Rattus norvegicus: one gene and its partners. The protein of the gene in region 1 binds, or shares a complex with, the protein of each later gene. Links are inferred from orthologs where the notes say so. Each region holds a gene or a part of one and is shown on either strand. Other genes may lie near its edges.

Region 1 (5,769 bases):
ATGAATGTGTTAAAGCTGTGAGGGAAAAATAGTTGAAACGTGGTGTTGGGAGAGGATAAATCAAGTATTTAATCCTCTATCATACAGAAGTCTCTGTATAGAAACATTGAGTGCATGAGTGGACAGGCAAGTAGAGTTTGAAAGCCGTCTGAAATAAACAGAAACACAGCATGGTCCATGTGGCTCCAGAACCAAGGTGAAACAAATAGGGCCCTTGTTTAGTGTTGGAGCCACTGAGTAACCTAGAAAATGAGAAGTTGGTTCTGCATCTCACACTATGAAGCAAATATATTAAAAATGGCTAAGGATACAAGTGTTTTTACAAAAGTGTAAGCACTAGAAGGGGATGTGGACAATCCTAAATCCTTGTAGAAAGGACTTTAAAACACAGACCCAAGTCCAAGAGTCATAAAGATCTGCCAAATTTAAATCCTCTTTAAGGTAAAAAAACAAAAAACAAAAAACAAAAAAAACCAAACCACCCATCAGCAAAGTCAAAAGTCTACAAATTTTGCAACTCGTGAATACTAATACAAAAAGGGAACCTGGAAACTAATACGGAATAGCTTGATGACCCAGTAGGAAAATGAGCAAAGTAAACGTGATACCTTTGAAACGTTTCTCAGTCTCATTCATTATGAGAGATGCAAAAAGAAAGAGACTACACCAAGCTGGTGGGGCTAAAGGAAACAGGCGTTTCCACAATGTTGCTGGTGCAACGTAAACTGATATAACCAGTATGACGAAACAGGGCTCTACACCACAGTCCTGGCTGGTCTGGAACTTACTATATCGACTAGGCTGGCTTGGAAGTCGTGGGGGCTCTCCCTGCCTCTACTTCTTGAGTGCTGGGATAGTCATGTGCCACTCCACCCAGATAGAAAGGATATATAGGAAAGTTGTGTAGAGCTAAAATACGGGTCTGGCAGCTGTGGTGTTCATCAGTACCTATAATTCCAGCAGTTGGGAGATTGAGGCAAGAAGATCAACAGTTCTAGGTCATCCTTGGCAGGTGGAAACCAGCTTGGGCTACATGAGACCCTATATGGCAGAAGCACTTAGAAAATGGCTGCACATAGGGAAGTGTTCCCAGAGTGCGGCTTGGCAGTACATGAACAGAAACTAGCAAGCATTGAGTTCAATACTATGGGTTATCAGCGGTGTCCTACCTCATTCCGCCCTCCAGGGGACCTTAGGAGTGATGGATGCTACTGATGATGGAATTCTTCTGGGAATAACTAGAGCCAGGCTGCTGACTACTAGGCTGGAATCCAGGCTCTCGTTAGCTGCAGTGAGCTATTGAGCACCTTTTAGGAAATGGGTGGTACAGGGTGCTTTGGACCAGAAAGGCATGTGTGGAGACTGACTTGTAGGGGCTGTGTGTGCAGTTTGAGAAAAACATTTTCAAAAGAGGGAACCCCACACCCAAGACTACAGAGCCTGGAGAATCCCAGAAGGTGGGGGAAAGGAAAGTGGCCAATGGTGTGAGGACTTACTAAGAAATAATTTTAAAAAGCACTACCCTTCTTTGAGGTTTGCACTGACATTGTTTCTACTAAAACTACATTGCACAATCAGAATTACTCCTTCGAGATAATTGGAATTCAATTCTACACAAAGGGCAGAACCATAGCCATAGAAATGTGTGAGGAAGGCAGTGTAGATTCTGAATATAAGAAAGCCCCAGGGTACGGTCATACTAATGGAGGTGCCCCAGTGACCTGTATTTAATTCTGCATCTTTACAAACTTTGTGTCTTACTCCGTAATTCATACTTTCTGTAGAAATTTCGCTTTAAATTTTAAAGGAAAAAAACCCTACAACTTTGGTGACATCCTAATTGGTCCTTTTTTCCTATTCAAAATGTCACTAGAATAGCTGGTCTCTGAATGATGGAAAGTGCCCACTGTTTAGCAAGGGTGGGCGTGGGGGTTGTTTCCTTAGTACTGGGAACAAAACTGAAGGCCTTATGGCAGGCCAGCCCATCACCTGAGTTGTAATCCAAGCCCGCCCCCGCCTCTCCACCCCAACCCTAATGGTTCTTCATAATCACAATTCACTTTTCCGTTTAGTAGGAGCAGCCCAGAGAAGTTGTGCGTGTTCTACGAGTCAAGGAAAGTTCCAGGTCTGGGCTGGCGACCTGGTTTGATCTACACCGGATCTCCCCTCCGCACCACAATCGGAGAGATTCGGAAAGGCGGGCAGGCGCCACGCGAACGCGCTTCAGCTTGGCTGCCGCCGCTCGCCGTAGCCGCGTTTCCAACATGGCGGCCCCCCAGGATGTCCACGTCCGAATCTGTAACCAGGAGATTGTCAAATTCGACCTGGAGGTGAAGGCACTTATCCAGGTACATATTAGTAGGCTCCTGTCCGGCTCTCGATTGCTGCCTTGGCATTTTCCAGGACATTCACGCCCGGTCCAGCCTCCCAGGCCCGCAGTCCCTCTCCAGGATGGCTCCTCGAGCACCACTCGGTCGGTTCCCGGAGAACACTGACCTTCAGCGCGTTTCTTTTGCGTACTGTTGATTTGGCCAAATCTGGAGTAGCCTAACACGCCGCTCTTGTCCCTTGGACTGAAGTGGTTCTGGGGGCTACCCGAAGTCTCGGAGGTAGCCCCGCCCTCCCCCTCCCCCCGCCCTGCCCCTCTCCCACGCCCACTTCCCTGAGTTAGGGACCCGGAGGGCACCCAAGGCCACCTGACGCGGGAGTTCTGGCCCAAGCTAACTTAACCTAGGACGTGGTTGTAATTTTTTGAACGAAGAATTCAAATATTGTGCTAAGTTCTGGGTCAGAAGGCAGGCAGTGCCAGTACTAGGACCTGGATGGGGAAAACCAGCCTAGGAAAAGCATTTTAGAGCTTCCCTATCCGGTTGAACAGACCGGAAAGTGAGGCGCTTATCTGGAAGCAGGTGTAAGTAGAGACTGTGGCGCGTAAGAAATCGAACACGGGCACGAAAAGGGAATGTAGAAATGACTCCAGAGTTTGGCAAAAAGAACCCAATCGGCTCAGGATACAAGCTGTGACAGCAAATAAGAATTGGGTAGGGGTACGGCTCTGCACTTGCTTAGCGCTGCGTTCCATCCCCAGTGCTGCAAATGGGTTGTGCCTGGCTGCTGGCCTAAGCTTTGTTTTGCGAGCCCCTGTAAAAAGGAGGGTGGGGAGTAGTATTCTCTGCTAAGCCAGATGTACACTGTACCACATTAATAGTCTCCGATGGTGTGAGGAAGTGTGATTTCATGAGTAAGCCTAGAGAACGAGTGAAGAAACGCTGCAAACTTTACATCTCTCCCACTTCACTCCTAAGATGTGTAAATAAAAAATATTTGGGCCACTTATAGAAAAATAAACAAGATTGGGTTTATACAAGCGAGATTACCAGAGGCTGGGGGTTAAATTTAGTTGAGTGTAGAGTTAAAGGTTATCCATGTGCAAGGCTCTGGTTTCAGTCCTCAGAATGCATCTATGAAAACATATACATACGTAAAACAAAATTGCTAGTATGGTGGCTCTAGCTAGCACTTGGGAAGCATAGGCAGGATCACCATGCATTTGAGGCCAACCCATACTACACAGAGTGATCTGTCTTCAAAAAAAAAACCCTTACATTCAAAATTTTGAAAAGTTGTGTTTTCATATTATATCATAGTATGAAATTATATAATATCATAAAACTTTGTATTTTCATAAAATTTTCTGTTAGCTAGGTCTCTTGTGACCTATGTGTTTTGGGTCCTTACAGTTACTAATGAGTACGCATAGCCCTGTACATTGTATTCTTATGGTGCTCCAGTTGTTCTGTCAAGTGTTCTAGGCAGACCGATCTTGAGAAAGGTAAGATAAAGAAATGGAGGCACAGAGAACTTAAGTGCTCCAAGATTTCACTGATAAATTGCTCTAACCTGGATTTGAATATACACAGCCTAAGTCTAGAGCCTGCTCTAAAACTTGGCTCTCATAAATCTGACTTTCTTTCCAGAAGCAAATTCTCAGTCCGTCTTTAAACATTTTGACATGCAACAGATGGTTTGTAAAATCAGACTAAATTAATTTTGTTCCATGTTACCAGGGATTTAGAGTTGGAAGGATCTGAAGTTTCAGGGTTTTTTTTAGGTGTTCATTTTTGTGGAGCATGGAAGCTGAAGAAGCCTTTCCTAGTGAATACACTTTGTTAAACTTCTAAGTCAAGGTTGAGCTTTACCTGTTTATTTATTACACACATACAATGCGTTCACGAGTGTGAGTGTGTGTGTATGTGTGTGTGTGTGTGTGTGTGTGTGTGTGTGTGTGTGTGTGTGTTTATGTGCATGTTTTGCTGCTGATGAAAGCCAGGGCCCAGAGCATGCTCTGTAAGTGCTGTATCATGAACTATACATTCAGCCTGCTTTTTCCTATTAGGCTTGGTATTAATCTTTTTTTTTAATTTTTTTATTTATATGAATACACTGTAGCTGTCTTCAGACACACTAGAAGGGGGCATCGGATCCCACTACAGATGGTTGTGAGCCACCATGTGGTTGCTGGTGATTGAACTCAGGACCTCTGGTGTTAATCTTAAGAGGGTGAGGAAACTGAAAATGATGGAGAACAGTGTGGGATGATGTCACAGGTGAGGCAGGTACAAGATAGAAGGAGGCCAGGGCTGGGGATTTAGCTCAGTGGTAGAGCGCTTGCCTAGCAAGCACAAGGCCCTGGGTTCGGTCCCCAGCTCCGAAAAATAGAAAAGAAAAAAAAAATAGAAGGAGGCCTGTCATTGGACAAGAAGGAAGGATGGGCGGGAGAAAAATTTGAAGGAAGAGGAGGGGACTGGAAGGACAGGGAGAGAAGCTGTGGCAGGACAATATGGCAGGTGACATTAAGATCCCACGCTGTACCTTTACAGGTTGTTACGAATGTTTTTAAGGGATAGATGTGTATTGGGCTTTGTGTGTTTAGGTGGGCAATTATATCTTATCAATTGGGTCAAAGGTTATTGTGTTGTGTGTTCTTTCATATAGCGATTTAAGTGTAAGAAAGTGTGTGGCGGCTGGTCTGGGCCACTACAGAGTTGGGATGTGTTTCTGGCATGGAAACCTGCCTTGGGAACTAGATAGGTAGAGAGATTGCTGCCAGGCTCAGAGAGAGGCCTTTGGCAATGGGATATAGGATGAAGCAGAGCGGGTGAGACACTTTGCTGACTGAGAATTAAGAAGCAGATATCTTGGGGCACTGCAGTGGTGGACCTAGGGGGGATAAAAGACAACCTTACTTTTTATTTTTTTATATTTTTACAACAACAGAACAGCACTGAGCAGGATGAGGTAGCAAGAGAGCTTGGCCAACCTTAGCTGCGGACTGACTCAGCTCTCTCACTGTGCCAATGAGGCCATTTCATTTCATCGACGGGAGAAAGGCCCCTCATCTCTTCATTGTCTTCTAGGATATTCGAGATTGTTCCGGACCCTTAAGTGAGCTTACCGAACTGAACACTAAGGTGAAAGAAAAGTTTCAACAGTTAAAACACAGGATCCAGGTAAGCGAGGCTGCAGAACCACTCAGTGTTAGCTGAGGGTGGGTGGCAGGGCCGGGAGCTCCGGCCTAGAAGAACTTTCCCTTGAGAGTTGACCAGGTCCTTCACATGCCACCTGGAGAGAGGAGGAAGCATTGTGACACTGAGGGTGACTGCACTATCAAAGTTTGGAACCTGCATGCTCACTCCCTGCTTGAATCCATTGTCAGCGTGTCCCTGGTGTGTCCAGCGCTACGGTGCACAGTAGCCTCCTCCCAGTTTC
Region 2 (5,677 bases), on another chromosome or scaffold:
ACACAGTGCCGCAGAAGGGTCCCCAGGTACCGGTAAAGGGCAGCGTCCTCCTAGCCAAAGACGGAAAGGGGCTCCCGTGAGAATAAGACCCTATTCTTATGACCCAAGGCCACATGGTGATCACTAGGCCCTGTCCACAGCACACTTGGTCACCTGAAGCATTATGGAGAATACCCGTCCCCAGCCCCATGCACAACACAGCTCAGAAACCTTGAGTTCCTGCCTAGATTGTCCTCTAGTCCTTGCCATATCCGACACCCTGCAACTTGAGGCACACAGGGAAGCAAACCCACAAAATGCCCCAGCTGAGCTGAGTCCCACCCATTGACTTCAGACTACAACCTACCTCATCAACCTCCCTCTTAACAGAGTCGTAGGTGATGTTAAAGAGCACTTTGAGGATTTCCATGGCCCGCTCTGTCTCTTGGGCTGGAAGTATCACCAGAGGGTTTTCTTTGGGGGCCACACCCAATGTCAGTTCCAGCGCATCGGTCAGCAGGCGCACGCCATGCAGCTCCTGAAACAGCTGCTGGCGCACATCAGTGCGAAGGGCTGTTAGCAGGAAAAGGAGCCTTAAGTCAAAGAACTGGACTTCGTGGGGATAGCTCCTTTTGCGGTACAGTCCCACACGTTCCGCTAGCCTCACCACCAGTCGAGCCTCTGCTGCTAGCATCTGTGCTGTAGGACTGCTGAGCACAAGATTACACAGGCATTTGAGAGACTCGAGGAGGACATCCATGTCTGGGGGCTGTGGGATGGGCTCCTCTGAGATGGCAATGTCGGCATAGCAGGCTAGTGCGTGTAAACTCTGGCGGCTAGCAAATGAGTCCAGGCAGCTGCGGTCTCGGGATAGGATTCGGATAGTCTGCAGCCAGGTGACACGGTGTTTTGGTGACAAGCCCTGCTCCAGTACGGAGACCAGCAGCTTTGCGAGTCTCTGTGGGAAGGGACAAAAATGGTTCCACTAGGCCCTCTTCTTGGGGCAGCCCGTGCTTGCCCTAGGAACCCCCTTGGGCTGACACCTACCTTCCTGTCCTCCTGCTGTGCATCATCGAAGGTGAAGCTCTGGGAATGCTGCAGGGAGACCCAGGAAGCTCAGTTCCACACGCAGGTAGGACCTGTGCTCCTCGAGAAGCAGCAGGTCTGCTTCTACCTCTGAAGCAGCAGCCATCGCTGTGTACGTAAAGCAAGGCCCACCCTCGCCACCCATACACCTGACTACCACAGAGGCACCGCCGTGGCCCAGCCCACCACCCACCGCCCTGCTCCCTGCCACACTCGCACGCACACCCCAGCCGAGTGGCGAGCAACCGGCTGCTTCCTCACTTCCTGCAATTTCCTCGGCAGCTGGATGCCTCTCACCTCTCGGTTAAACGACCGCAGAGCTTCTGTCACCGCATCTTCCTCTCCCGTCTCCAAGGCATCCGCAACTGCCCGGGGCTCCATGGCCCCTGGCACGGGGTGCTAGAAGACTTGGGCTGGGAAGACGCAATCGGCCAAACCCGGGGACTCCGCCCAGGTCCGGAAGCCCAGCGTCCACGCGTGAGGAATGCTGGGAGAACAGCCGAGCCTAGGGTGTGTACAGGCGCGGGGCTGGCCTCCGGCTTAAGGTGGAGCAACCCGGCTGTGGCCGCTGAGCGGCTTGTCTTGGAGCAGCGATGCTAGCTAACTAAGCAGTATCCTCCTTTTGAGCCCTTCTCTCTAGCCCGACTTCCTGGCGGGCGGGGGTGGGGAGTGGGGTGTGGCTTGGCCGGCGCGTAAACCTTTCTCCTTACACTCTTGTTCCCGTACTGTGATAAAAGAGGGAGCGCCGGCTCCTGGCCGCTTAGTCAGTTGGGGAAGACGATTCTCGCGGTCATCTTCCTGATGCTCATCTTCCACGGGAAATAAGGAAAGAGAAGTACGACTTGGATGGTCAAAATAATGTACGTGGTTAGCCGGGCATAGTAACGCACGCTTTTTTAAATTTCAGCACTCGAGAGGCAGAAACGGGCAGACCTATCTAAAAACAATCAAAAAACCAAACCACCAAAATAATGTGGTTATCAAAAGAAAAGGGCAATTGCAGAGTGTATGAGGAAGGATCGGAGAGAAGGAAGTGAAGAACACCGGTGGAAAAGCGACTCCCGCGGGAGGAGCAACGGAGGGGCGGCTAGCCGCGGCGTGTCTGGGGTTAGAAGCGTAGGAACGTTGTATAGTGGGGAGCCAGGTCTGCATGCCACTTAGCTTAAGGCAGAGTCGGTGCACCCCACGGTGACACAAGCAATGTTCCAGAGGATAATGCCGCCCGCTGTGCTAACCGGCGCTTGCCTCTACTCAGTGTCAGGTCCTTTGCCAGTCTCTTTCGCTTCTGCTCGTCCTCCCCATCCTGTCGTTCTCACTTGGGGACTTTGCAGCGCCCGAGGTACCCGACCCTCGGCTCCAGGTTGGGGTCTGAGCTCCTGCTCCGGGTAATACCCACAGCGCGGGACTAATACTGCTGACCAATCCGTAGGCCCGAATGCTGGCGGCCCGCCCTTCCCTTATTTACATTCCAGTGTAGAACTACAAGTCTGTTTCTTCCGCTTCAGACTCTTCTCCCGGAAGTTATTAGACCTGAGGCGGAACCGGAAGACCCAGGTAGTGGTGCCACGTCCGTCGCTGTGTTGCCTACTCCCCGAGTGGGACCTCGGAAGGCGCGATGGCAGATTGGACTCGAGGTGAGCGCACCTGAAGGTAGTTGGGATAGGAGGCAAGGTCTAAGTCTGGAGTACGAGCCATCAATTTTTCCTCGGTGGAGGGATCTGCGTGGGATGGCGCTTACGTATTCCAGGAAAAACAGGGCCAGATTTCAACTGGCACTGCCTTGGAACCCAAGCCGGCATGACATCAGTTTGTGTGTATGGTTGATGCCAAGGGCTGGAAGCAGAAGGTCCAAGCAGGGACTTACAGGGCTCAAGTGCCTCGTTTCACACACACCCTCCGCCCCCGTGCCTGTGTTCAGTCTGACAGTTGTGATACTGAGGCTTCTACTATACTAACTATGTAGTGGTTGGTAGGACACAGCCGTCTGTCTTTTAGAGTCTGGTCGCCCCTGTTTGCTGGTGCTGCTGGCTTTCCCCTTAGGTGGGTCATATCGAGGCTGGATTTTTATGCTTCAGACCAGTGCCAGTCACACTTAGGCAGGTGATTCTCAACTACATACCGTGACAGAAATTCTTCATGTCTAGTCTCTGTCCGTCGGAGTAAGGTTTCCACAGGAGAGTGCTCTGGGGCTTCTAGAGATCCTGTGTGGGTTGTAGCAGTAGGGATTGGTAGTTTCTACAGTAAAAGGCCTTTCTTACACTTACCTTGGACTTGATTCCTAAGTCATCCCCACACAGCCTTCCTGTCACCTGCTTTGTTGTTCTGTTCTGTTTTCCCTATAATCCCTACCAGATTGAGACCTGTCCCATACTCTCAGATGGTGATTTCAGCTAAGGCAATATTCATTTTGGTCCAGGAACAGTATACAACAGGGTAGTGTAGATTGACCTGCTGGTTCCCTGTCTCTGCCTGGGCATTGCACACAAGTACTCCCATGACCCATGCTTCCTGTCTGGTGTGTAGGTGGTCTACCTGTTGGAACATAGGGTGGAACATGCTAAGTGAGCAGAAGGATATGGGTGGAATGCCCTTAGAGGTCTCACCAGGCCAGGCTCCACTGGAGCAAGGAGCCAAGGACCACATTTATGAGTGAATTCTACCCTTCAGCCTCTTTGTCTTGCAGCTCAGAGTTCTGGTGCTGTGGAGGAGATTCTAGACAGAGAGAACAAGCGGATGGCTGACAGCCTGGCCTCTAAGGTCACCAGGCTTAAATCGGTTAGTGGTGGCCCTTTTCCCTTCCATGAGACACTTTGGTGAGTGGGGCTGAGTGGGTAGAAAGGAAGCCATGCTGTCCGTGGGTGTGCTGACTGAGGAATGCTTCAGGTAATACCTTGGCCTTTTTAGCTTTTTCTAGTAATAGGTACCTAGCAGAATCTGAAGGGAAGATGGGCACTGCACTCTGTGTCCTTGCTTGACTGTGCCTTCTGTATCCCAACCAGCTGGCTTTGGACATCGACAGGGACACGGAAGACCAGAACCGATACCTAGATGGCATGGTAAGTGCCTGTATTACGTACAAATCATAGTCAGCTCTACCCCCATGCCGCCTGCTCTTCTGCCTCTAACCCTTCAGCGCTAGTACAGTTGGGCCGTCACAGATCCCAGCTCTATGTGATCCCGTTGGGTCTCTCCCGCAGGACTCAGATTTCACAAGTGTGACTGGCCTACTCACAGGGAGTGTGAAGCGCTTTTCCACGGTGGCACGGTCTGGGCGAGACAACCGGAAGCTTCTGTGTGGTATGGCTGTGGTCTTAATTGTGGCCTTCTTCATCCTCTCCTACCTCTTGTCGAGGACAAGGACGTGAGCCAGTGGGAGCCAAGGGCAGCCAGACTCTTGTCCACCTGGTATCCTGGCTTCCTAAGGACCTGACTACAGAAACAATATTCCTTTGAAATTATCATCACGGGTCATTCGTCTTCCTAAGTCAGGACGACTGCGGCTGCCTCTGTCGTAACGAGCTCCTCTTGGCTTGTCCTGTGTATGAAGGAAGAAGAAAAAGGCAAAACCCAGTGCTACTCCCTGGTGCTAAAGACACTGGCAGAGTCAGAGCCATGTTGTATGAGAATGAGCCAGTTCTATTGAGAGCATCTGAGAGTGCTGAATGCGCCTACCGTGGCCAGTGGCCACACTCCTCAAGGGCCTTCTGTTGTGCTCTAACCTGTTTATGTCTGGTTTAAACCATGTCCGTGTTCTTGAAGAGTCTGAAGCTGACACCAGAAGGGAATGTGGCCGTGAGCCCTCTCCAAATGATGGTCGTCGGGATGGGGTTGACAGTGACACCAGGCTGAGACTGCTGGTCAGGAATGGACCTGTGCAGTCTGGCTCAATTCAGACCCCAGGGAAGAGGCAAACTGTGGATAGAGGAGCAGACTGCAGTCCAGAGGCACTGGTCTAAGATCCTTCTGGGCTGTAAGACCATGTTTCCAGGAGCACAGATGTGTGTCCTTGGCATTGAGAATCTTCCCAGTATCAAAGATGCCTCCATCCCTGGGTAGCTTTCAGTCAGGCAGTGCTGGAGTGGTCTCTCTGCTGGGAATCCTTATGGGGCTGGAGGCCACCCATGAAAGCATTTGTGTAGTGGGAACTTGACCTTGTACTGAACCTTGCCCTACCCCGTACAGCCAGTCTCCCTTGTGAGGGAGATTGAGCCACCTCCTTGTTGCACAACTCCATAGACTCACCCGCTCTGCCGGCCCTCCCTGCCACTGTGGCCAGCCCCATTTGCACACAAACTGACTTGCGGAGCTGACAGGGCCGACAGGACCTCGCACCTTTTGTTTTCACATAAAATGTCTTTAAGAAATGAGCCTTGAAGTTCCGTGCCCTTCTCTGACTGTATTCATGTCTGTGTTCTTCTCTCTCCCTCTCCCTACACTGGCTTACCCTCTACCTATGAGGCCATACATGTAGCTCATCGGCCCATAACCACTACCTCTGAGTTCTAAGCCAGTATGATTCTGCCATACCCTGGCCTCTTAATGCCAGTCGCAGTGCCTTGCTGTAGCACCAGGTACCCATCCCCTTATCATTTTCTCTGAACACGTTGACCTT
Region 3 (5,544 bases), on another chromosome or scaffold:
GCTTCTGTCAGTGCTGCCACATAGGACTTTGGAAGCATCCCTTGGAGGCCCCAGAGGCCTTTGGACAAGCTGCTCAGCTTCTGTCTCAAAGCTTGGTGCTCACAGTGACTGTCCTCAGAACTTAGAGACTGGATGGAAAGCAGCTGCAAATGGTCGGTACCCACATCAGAATCCGTGTCAGCTGCAACCAATGTTCCTCCTCAGACGGCAGCCAGAGCAGCACATTTTGTGTGCCAGTGTAGGCAAGCACTCATTGCCCGGGTCACAGACACTGATGGGATGCTGGTTGCCTTGTTTGCCAAAGTGCCGACTGAAGAACTTTGTGCAGAGACCACCAATCCAGGCAAGGGCAGGGAGCTCTCAGCTTTGCTCCAGCCTAGAGCCTGACCTACAGACACTTGCTCAAGTCCCCGAGGTGTGCACAGCCCTACTTGGCAGGTAACCTGGAGCAGAGCCGAATTATCTTCCCTAGCAATGGCCCCTATATTGAGTTCTTGAATTTTATACACAATTTTTGAAGAGAAAAACAAAACAAAACAATTTTGAAATGGATACCTGTGAGGACACTTGTGAAGGAAGGCTGAAAAGGCAAATAGAATTTGTTAAAACGGAGACTTAAAAACCACTCATAAAATTTTTTTTTTTTGGCTAATTTCCCCCTCAAAAAAAGAGGATTGACAAGTTCAAACATTTGCTTTAAATTTATTAATTTAAAAACACAATAAGTCAACTTGAAAGGATTGTTACCATGATGCTAAGCCTGACCTTAAATGCCCAGTCGAGCCTCCTGACTCAGCAGCCTGAATATGTGGAACCGTAAGGCACTTAGCACCTCACCCAAGTCCATGGTGAATGTAGATAACATGGATACCTTCACAGGATTATCCCATGTCTGTCGGAGGTTGATTTGTGGGATGTTACTTTTCCTTGCTCTTTCTTTAGCTTAATCATTTAAAACTCTGTGTATTTTATATAGAAATCTTTTTTCTTCCTTTCAGCTAATTGTGGGTTTTTACAAAGACCTATTTTTATGTGTGTAGGTGTTCGACTACATGTTCACCATGTGCATGCAGTTCTCACAGAGGCGAGGTGAGACTATTGATCCCCTGAACCTGGAGTTCCAGATGGTTGTGAGCCAGTGTGTGGGTGCTGGGAATTAAACCCAGGGTCTCTGGAAGACAACCAGGACTAATCACTGAGCCATTGCTCCAGCCCTCCTTTATTACATTATTTATTTTGTATGTGCATATATATATATATATATATATATATATATATATATATATATATGCATAAGCACATGTGTTGAAGTCAAAGGACCACATGCAGGAGTCCCCATAACTGAACTCAGGTCTTCAGACTTGGTACTGAGCCTTCTCATCAGCACCATTTTTGCTGGACTGAACCTCTCTATATGAACCAGGCTGGCCTCATAGCTAGAGCTGTCCTCCCACATCTGCCTCCTAGGTGTTAAGATTACAGACGAGGACCACATGCATGGGTTTATTTGACCCTTGGTGGTTTCTTTATTTACTGGTCTGTATAAACATTCTAAGAATCTAATTTAAGAAAAAAATTTTTTGAGAGTATATAGTTCTTGAACTCCCTAGTGTAGCTCAGGCTAGCCTTGAACTCACAAAAATCCTTTTGCCTCTGCCTCTCTGTGGGTGCTGGGATTAAACTTGTGCACCACCATCCCGGCCCAAGAGGCTAATTTATTTATTTTTTATTTATTTATTTATTTTTGGATGCAGGATTTCTCTATGTAGCCCTGACTATCCTGGAGCTCAGATCTGCCTGTCTCTGCCTCCTCAGTGCTTGGCTTCAGAATCTGATTGCTGATGAGATCTTCTGCCATTTGCCACCTGCTCTGTAGTAAATTCTGAGCTGAACCCCTGTCCATCACTACTCATTCTGGCCTGACCTGGGCCGATTTTGTTGTCATGCTGTGTTTAGAGAGAGAAAATTTCAGTGAAGAGTAAGAGTTCTTGGGAAGCTAGGGAAGCTCGAGTGAGGTCCAGACTCTCCCTTCCCTGTGAACAATCACCAGCATGGTGATAACTTGAGAGTGCTGTTGGGCATGAGCCACTCATGGCCATGGAAGTTTTTTTAAGAATGCACCAATGTCTCTAGTTCTTAATGACTTCTGAGCTGAGAAAGAATACGTTATTTATGGTCTCTACATCAGCACCAGCCAAGTGGGAACTTGAGTGAATTAGTTAGTTTCTAGTGTTTTGGAAGCTCGTTGTTTACTTGTGGCACTGTTGAAGTGTAAGGCAAGCCAGGCATGATGGCACACATTTACAGTCCCAGCACGTGGACATTGAGCCAGGACAGTCATGATGAGTTTGAATTCAACTTCAGTTACAGTGAGGCCGCCTTAAAAAACAAAAATGAATAAATGCTTAAGCAGAGAGTTTTAAAGTTACAAGCTAATTGCATTATTAGGTCATTTTTGCACACACTACTACCTTCTCACTCAGTCTGGATGCTGACTGAAGTTGCTAATAGCCAGTTACATGTTAATGGATTTTAACTGGTTCACAGGGGAAATGCTCCAATTCTTTTTCATTATTTTTTCAGAAGTCTTAAGGGAAGTGGAATCTGCCTGCTTTAATCCTGACCTTGAACAGGATCTTATTTTTCATTAGAATTTTTGATTCAATTTTAAAAGCACTCTTCAGTCAGCTTTGGATTGAAAATGTTTTGTTTTTTTTTTTTAATATTACATCTATCCAGGCATGGTAGCACCTAGCTTTTCATCCTAGCACGTGGAAGGCAGAGACAGATGGATCTCTGGGAGTTGAAGCCAGGCTGGTGTACATAGTAAGTTCTAGGTTAGCCAGAACTACACTGTAGGACCCTGTCTCAAAAAATTCCAATTCTGAAGGATCCGATACCCTCTTCTGGTACCCATAAAGCTTTACAAATGTTTTTATTTGCTGAACATCTTTTGATGTTCTTGCCATGATTCTCTTGAACAATAAATATACATAATATTTACCTTTTCTCAGGTATCAGTAATCTAATGATGATTTAATGTATTAGGAGGATATGTACATGTTATATGCAGACTACTATTTTACACATAGGACCTCAGCAGGAGTGCCCTAGAATCAGTGCCCTGCAGACAGAAAGGAAAAGCTAGGGAAATGATGGTTTACTGTATCCTTGTACATAAGAAGAAAGCCACAAGGAATAACTGACAATAAATTTATAACAGAAGTAGCTAACATTTTTCTTCCTTACTGCTATCAGAATCGGCTGCAGTCTCAAAGAGCATTACTTCTGCAAGGCACTGAAAGCCTGAACCGAGCCACCCAAAGCATTGAGCGTTCTCATCGGATTGCCGCAGAAACTGACCAAATTGGTTCAGAAATCATAGAAGAGTTGGGGGAGCAACGAGACCAGTTGGAACGTACCAAGAGTAGAGTAAGTCTGGGCAATGTGTAAAGTAGGGGGGTCCTCATACCCAGATACCACACTAAGGCCAGACACTACACCAGTTCTGACTTCTGGGAATAACAGCCCGCCTCCCCTTTTCACAAGTTTTAAATTCCTCAGCTGAAAGATTCCGCATTAGAAGTACTTGTACAGAGCTAAGGGAGATGGGTCTGTCAATAAAGATCAATACAGATGCTCATGGGTTTGGAACCCCAGAGTTTGGGGGTGAGGATTAGAAATAGTTGGATCTTTGGAATTTGTTGGCCAGCCAGTATTTTAAGAAATCCTTTCTTAATATGGTGGTGTAACTGGTCTTTTGCTATTTTGTGAGTTTTTCTTCTACCCTTTTCCACCCTTTCAACCCCCTAACACTAGATAGGAAAGAAAAAAGAAAAGAAAGGGGGTGATGTTATAGTTAGGCTACTTCCTGCTGATTAGGGGGATTGAGTTTCTTGTGGCAAGTTTGATCTTCATCAAGATATCTAATTTCTTCTCATCTCTTTGTGCATAACTTCTTGAGAAATCATGACCAGCAACCACCAACCAACAAAAGCCAACCCATCCTGCTTCTGGGGACTCTGAAAAGTCCCCAGAATTCCAAATATCTCACAATCACAGACTATCACACCCCTGCACAAAGCAATCAAAGTCAGCTGCTGTGAACAACCTGAAGTATCCCTATATCCCATACCTGGGACTAAAACAAAAGCATATTCCTATATTTCTGTGGGGTGTTTTTAAGATTTATTTTTATTTTATGTGCATTGCTGTTTTGACTACATATATTATAAGTCTGTGTTAGGGTATCAGATCCCCTGGAACTGGAATTATAGACCTTTTTAATGCCCATGTTCAAATTATATAAGTTTTTTTGAAAGGAAGAAGAAATGATCTGTTATTTTCTTTTTCAGCTGGTAAACACAAATGAAAACTTAAGCAAAAGCCGAAAGATTCTTCGCTCTATGTCCAGAAAGTAAGTTTCAAGAAACCCACAAATTCTTTTTTTTTTTCTTGGAGCTGAGGACCGAACCCAGGGCCTTGCACTTGCTAGGCAAGCGCTCTACCACTGAGCTAAATCCCCAACCCCCACAAATTCTTGATATTCAATATATTTCAACTAAGAAATATAGAGAGCTTAGACCAGTAACTTAACAAACACCCTGATAAATTACCTTAGTGCTACCCAAGCACTCCTCTAGGCATTCACCAACCGAAGGAGAAGATATTCTCTATTATATTATAGTTTATATAGTTAAATATCTGAGGATGAGGTCTTTGTTAAATTCATAGATTGTTCCAACATAAAGTAGTGGAAAACCTGTCTACTGACCAATGTCAATCCCAGTTTCTGTCTCTTAGAAGAGACCTAAGGAACTAAGAAGAGCTCTCTGCTCCCTGGAACATGTTTGTAAACACCTGACCTGTGAGCATGGATAGTACTTAGTTCTTGCCTTGCATGGCAGGCCCTTTTGGGACGTCCTGTCTTGTTAGCAAGAAGTATTTAAAAATAACAAAAACAAGAGCAAGCTAGCAGCAGGTCAGGTGGCTGTGGCGTGAGCCTGACAGTTGATGGGAGAGAGCCATCCCGAGTTGTCCTCTTACTGCCACAAGTGGACTTGTGAGAGCACACACTCACCTGTGCTCACTAATTTAAAACACTAAAACCAACCTTGAGGTAAGTTGTAACTGCAGTAAAAGCAAGGCCGAAGGGAGGTCGTGACATTGGGGCTAAGCTGGGTACCTAGTGTGGCATGTCCTTGGTGCATGAGCAAGCAAGAGCTTCAGCGATCCACAGTAATCCATTCGTAGGATGAGCAGTGGGAGTAGACCCTCCCCAAACACTAGTAAGTCCTTCTTTACAGAAGGAGAAACCAGATGACAGTCTGAAGTAAATTGTTTGGAGAGTGACTGCTCAGGTAGTGGAGCAGAGGGAGAAACAGGGAAGAGTAAGAAGGGAGAATCTACAAGACACTGAAAAGCAGTTCTCAGGGGCTTAGTTGCTCATCCTAAAAACAGGACCATCCATGAGCTTAAATTAACTTTGACACTAAAAAGTGTGCCCCAGGGGCTGGGGATTTAGCTCAGTGGTAGAGCGCTTAC
Region 4 (5,191 bases), on another chromosome or scaffold:
TATTAGTTCTGTACCGTCATGTGGGTTCTAGAATCACACTGTCTGGGTTTAAATGACTGTATCGTTCTAGCTCTGTAATCTTGTGTAAAATAGTTAAGGAGTCAGTGCCTCTGGGTTTTTTTTTAAATACTTAAACTAGTATCTGTTACAAGGTGAGTGCTTAATAAATATGAGTCAATGTGATTGTTAACAGTGATCTCTGTGAATCCGGAGTCTAGTCTCTGCTGAATTATTTCCCTAGGATAAGTTTTCAGGTTGAAATTATTTCATCAAACTGTGGTGGCATCTCTAAGCCGCTTTGCTATATATGATCATTGCTTTTGAAAGAGCATTGGTTTCTGCTATATAATCTGTAAATACAGCCCATGTGCACATTAATTTGTAACTAGAAGCAGTTTAAGTCACAAACTTGTAGAAGGTCATTCACTTTTCTCCTCATTTAAGAGGTCGAAACTCGGGTCTATAAGTGCAGGAAGCATACTTTATACCACCGAGCTGTGCCCCACTTCCTATTAAGTTTGCATTAATTTCTGTGCTATAATGATTTTTGTTCAGTGCTTTCTCTAGATGGATGTAGATACATGAGTGGGGAGAGGTGTTCAGGAGGGGGGATAGGGAGGGGAACAGCCTTATAAATGGGGAGGGAGAGGGATTAGGGAGCTTATGGACAGGAAACTGGGAAAGGGAATAACATTTGAGATGTAAATAAGAAATACACAATTAAAAAACAATTAAAAATTTAAAAAAAATTCGTGCCTGAGTAATATTCTAAATCTGTGTCCTTTTTTTTTACTCTTAATAGATTGAAGTCATGGCCATTCTTTTTGCCGTTGTTGCCAGGGGAACCACTATTCTTGCCAAACATGCTTGGTGTGGAGGAAACTTCCTGGAGGTGACAGAGCAGATTCTGGCTAAGATACCTTCTGAAAATAATAAACTAACTTACTCTCATGGCAAGTGAGTTCTGACCTGCATGAGGTTGTGGGAAGGAATGAATTTTATTGTGGTCAAAACAGTAGAAAACAAGATTCTAGGTAGATTCATTTGACAAAAATGGTAACTTGACTAGCTTGAGAAATGTCTAGTTTTAGGCCAGGCATGGTGGCTCATGTCTCTAGTCCTACTGCTAGATCCCACTATGAGTTCAAGGCCAGCCTAAACCACAGAATGAAACGCTATCTCAAAACAATAAAAAGTCTGGTTTTGTTACCAATTTAACTTACGATTATTATTCTATTTATTTATTTATTTATTATTTTATTCTGTCACTTGAAATGATATATTCAAGAAAGATATGGAAATGCTAGCTATAAAAATTGCTTTTCTAAGATGTGTGAAACAATACAGATGATAACTCCTTTCATTCATTTAGTAAATATTAATACAGTATTTAGCTATCAATAGGCACTCTAGCTGGTGAAACTGACATAAGAAGAAATGCAGATAATCAATAATGACCGGATTGTAAAAATTAATAATAATAATGACTTTCTTGACTTGTGATATAAAATTATAAAGTCTGGTGGGGTGGGTGGAGGTTGGGGACATCTTGGATACAGTGGAGGAGTAATGGCATGGGGACATTTTGGAAGGCAGACTAGTAGGGGGAATGACTGGACTGTAAAGAGAAGATAATAATAATAGTGATGATGGTGGTGGTGATGATGATGATATTAACTTTCTAGACTTATATAAAATTATAAAGGTATTTTATTATTGCAATGTGATTCCTGAATGACTATATAAGTTAGGGTTCTCTAGAGTCACAGGATTTATGGGCAGTCTCCACACAGTAAAGGAATTTGTGGGTGATTTGCACTCCGTCATCCAACTCACCAATAATCGTGAGCAGCAGCTGTGAGTGTAAATCCAGGAAAGTGTAAGTCCAAGGTTCCAGAGCTTCAGATGCTAATAGTGGGAAAGCCTAGTAATGGTGTTAAAAATACCTTAACTCTCCATGCTGATGCTTAAAATATTTCCATACTTAATCTCCACATCATTACTTCTTATGTCAGGGGATCCTTATTGCTTTTCAGAGTTAAGCCCTTTCACACCTTAGTTAAAGCTACCGTGAGAAGACACTGAAATATAAAATTAATGTATGTGAAACAGCCAGGGACGAGGGGTCCAGAGCTACTGCGTTGGCTCTGCCATCGACGCCTTCCAACTTTTGCCAGAAACAGTTTCTCTTATTGTTATCATGGCCCCGTGATTTTTCCAGTGTTTCTAAAGGCACAGATCTGAAGTTTCCTTGCTTTTTACTGTTTCAAGTTTCTGCTCTCGTTTTTTTTTTTTTTTTTTTTCCCTCCTCATCTTATAGTCACGTAGCCAAGCTAGTTAGAAGGGAGGCTAGGAACCATCTGCCATCTTTGGCTGTGTGGTCTTAGGCTGAAGTAAAGCTCTTACTCTGGAAGAATTTATTATAGCAGAGGATTCCTTTAAGTCCTCCATTTTACTTCTCTGGCTGTCAAAAAACCCAGATGAACTTTCCTTCTCAAATATTAAACATACCCAACTCTGAAGACTCACCTGGTTGCTATGTTTTGCTGTGTGTCGATAGTTCCTGGGTGATGTACAGTCCTTTGGTCCAGGAGTCCTATGGCCTGGTGACCGTAAAAACAACAACAAAGAATGAAACAGAACAAGTCATCTGTTTTTCCTGTTGTCATCCTCCTACCAAGAATGAGAACAGGGTCACTAGGATGAGAGTTACAAACTTTTATTTTAAAAAGAAAATAACAAGAAACGTAGAAATCATTTCTTATTATTGGTGACCAGATACTTCACGGCCATTTGGAATGGGGTGTAGTTGGTAATTCTACTTTCTCAGAGAAACTCCTGATCATTCCTACCAGACTGCTATAAATGTCAGAGGATATGTTGTCATCTTTGGGAATGTAAACGGTTTTATATCTACACCTTAACAGTTTAGATTTAGGGGCCCAGAGATTGTGATAGAGCTTAGATAATCTGTCTTGTGAGTACGGATTTCTAGTTTATTCAAAACACTTCATGCTTATAATGTATGCGTTGCTAATCAGTGCCTAGGAAAATGCTAGGGGAAACATGGAATTCTTTCAGAGCGAAGAAGGGAATATTTCTTCCACTGGTGTTATTAGAACCAAAATTTAGTAACACACCTGTATCTAGCTACAAGGGAAGCTAGGAAATATAAGCACAATATATGTTTTAGTAGAAGAAAATATACGAGGGATATACATTATATAATTGGATTCACATAAGTGTGATCTCTAAGTCTTCACCTGCCCCTCCTGTGTTTGTCAGATGGGGTTTAATCACTGACATTTTTTCTTTTTAGATTTCCACCCTGATTTCAATCACATAATTACATTTGTTATCTCAAGATGACTTTTACTTCTGTATAGCAAAATAAAAACATCCACATCGTATATATGGGATATTTTCACTGGACACCCGGCCAGCTAAACCTAAAACTTAAGGATTATATTTCACTTCCTCACCAAATATTTACCTGTCTTCTACACGTTTGTCAGCCCGTCCTTCCTCTTATATCTCCATTTTTCTCTTTGATGGCTTTGTCTTCTACTATTCCAGTCCTTGATTTGTTTTGCATCCGTACGTAAAAAGTTTATTACTCAGTGTTAATTTTTTTGTCTCTTCATAATATTTGTAACAGTTCTTACCTTTTATTGGAGTATGGTTACCATACCTGCTTTTAAAATTCTGTTCAGGGAGACAAAACAAGTTTTTAAAATATTAAGTATGATAGACAGAAGCATATGTAGCACTGGAGCTCAGGTGGTGGGGTATGGATTGATTCCATACTGATTTTGGATATTATAATAGAATAACACTCCCTGCCCCAGGCAAAACCGTTTTGAATCTTTTCATTTTTCTCAAGGCAGTTTATCAAATTTTGTATAATACAGTCTCTACTTCCTTTCCCGCTGGCATCTGTCCAGGCAATTACTTTTTTCCGTATGTTCTGAACTTTCATCATGCGAACCGATTTTGCTTTCTGATATTTATGATGTGCTCTTTCAAATCCACATCCTTACAGTGCCTCATTCTGCACATTTGTATATTCTCGGCTGACCCCTTGCATGGCTGTTACTTATTCTTTAGGATTCAAATCATACATCACCTTTACCCTTTGTAAATGTCCTTACCTGCTTCCTCTACGCCCCTAGGGTACTATAGAATACCCTCAATTTCCTTATCAGTCCTCAATTCCAATTCTTAAAACCACAACGTATCAACTTATTTGCCGAACTGCATTGTAACTCCTTATACTATGATCCCAAAAAAGCAAGAACTGATGGTTTTACAATCCGTATCCTCATCATCCTGCACATTCGCTTGCTCAAAGCAGATGCTTGAATGCAGGACAAAAGCACAGAGAATTCGCTATCAAAGGTGTTGGCAGGGGGGAAAAAGCTAAACAAAACCAGAAAGGGGGGAAAAAAAACCTACGACCCCCTGGGAATTAATTTTAATTGTGTGTTCCTTCTAAGACGTCATCTCTCCTCTGGGCCTTAAGAATCCATTTGTTCTTTTCTAGCTGACATTTTAATGGTCGGCACACATGATTATATTCAAGAAAGAGAACTTTTTTTCATGTTTTATTCATTCCTGTGAGTTTAACTAAAGACAGAAATGCATGAGGAGGGGGGAAATGGAAACGGATTGTATTTGTAATCGCTATGGTGAAGTTTGACACACTGAACTGGCTTATACGTGGCCAGAACTTAGAACTAAAGCAGGTGATACTTAAAACCACAATACGTTTTCTGTCTTTTCTTCTTTCTTCCGCAGTTATTTGTTTCACTACATCTGCCAGGACAGGATTGTGTATCTTTGCATCACGGATGACGTAAGTAACCTGAAGATCTATTGCTGTTTCACTGTGTGTACGAATGTAGCCGATTATCAATCATCTCTACAGAAGGGTGGGTAACAGCGACACAAAAAGTACAGTTTTTTTCTTTGCTTTGCATTTGTTATAAAGAGAATCTTAGGACAAACACTGATACTAAAATGTATATAATTCAGCTCAGTTTTGATACTTTTTGCTCAATCACTCTGAATCTCTGTCAACAAACAGTGTGTTGAAATTGGCCTCCGTGGTGGTTATTTTTGTTTTCAGACCTTTTATTTTTTATATTTTTGTTTCAATAAAAGAAGAGAGCCACCCCGCCTCCCATTTTTA

What was found.
Region 2: Bnip1 (region 1) and Bet1l share a complex: the UniProt entries of both Homo sapiens proteins name them as parts of the SNARE complex. The link is inferred for Rattus norvegicus from reciprocal best matches to the Homo sapiens genes BNIP1 and BET1L.
Region 3: Bnip1 (region 1) and Vti1b share a complex: the UniProt entries of both Homo sapiens proteins name them as parts of the SNARE complex. The link is inferred for Rattus norvegicus from reciprocal best matches to the Homo sapiens genes BNIP1 and VTI1B.
Region 4: Bnip1 (region 1) and Vamp7 share a complex: the UniProt entries of both Homo sapiens proteins name them as parts of the SNARE complex. The link is inferred for Rattus norvegicus from reciprocal best matches to the Homo sapiens genes BNIP1 and VAMP7.

The regions. Positions count from the first base shown.
Region 1 is NC_086028.1:16,900,046-16,905,814, reverse strand, and holds the start of Bnip1 (vesicle transport protein SEC20), read left to right. Parts: upstream 1-2,253; 5' UTR 2,254-2,264; coding exon 2,265-2,348; intron 2,349-5,417; coding exon 5,418-5,510; intron 5,511-5,769. UniProt on the Homo sapiens protein: As part of a SNARE complex may be involved in endoplasmic reticulum membranes fusion and be required for the maintenance of endoplasmic reticulum organization. Also plays a role in apoptosis.
Region 2 is NC_086019.1:205,360,796-205,366,472, reverse strand, and holds Bet1l (BET1-like protein), read left to right. Parts: upstream 1-1,766; 5' UTR 1,767-1,925; intron 1,926-2,570; 5' UTR 2,571-2,680; coding exon 2,681-2,699; intron 2,700-3,748; coding exon 3,749-3,840; intron 3,841-4,064; coding exon 4,065-4,121; intron 4,122-4,262; coding exon 4,263-4,430; 3' UTR 4,431-5,432; downstream 5,433-5,677. Other genes in the region: Ric8a (synembryn-A), read right to left, coding at 1-50, 347-937, 1,027-1,074, 1,363-1,446. UniProt on the Homo sapiens protein: Vesicle SNARE required for targeting and fusion of retrograde transport vesicles with the Golgi complex. Required for the integrity of the Golgi complex.
Region 3 is NC_086024.1:103,695,047-103,700,590, reverse strand, and holds the end of Vti1b (vesicle transport through interaction with t-SNAREs homolog 1B), read left to right. Parts: intron 1-3,258; coding exon 3,259-3,432; intron 3,433-4,355; coding exon 4,356-4,421; 3' UTR 4,422-4,456; downstream 4,457-5,544. UniProt on the Homo sapiens protein: V-SNARE that mediates vesicle transport pathways through interactions with t-SNAREs on the target membrane. These interactions are proposed to mediate aspects of the specificity of vesicle trafficking and to promote fusion of the lipid bilayers.
Region 4 is NC_086030.1:21,848,247-21,853,437, forward strand, and holds part of Vamp7 (vesicle-associated membrane protein 7), read left to right. Parts: intron 1-802; 5' UTR 803-811; coding exon 812-957; intron 958-4,797; coding exon 4,798-4,855; intron 4,856-5,191. UniProt on the Homo sapiens protein: Involved in the targeting and/or fusion of transport vesicles to their target membrane during transport of proteins from the early endosome to the lysosome. Required for heterotypic fusion of late endosomes with lysosomes and homotypic lysosomal fusion.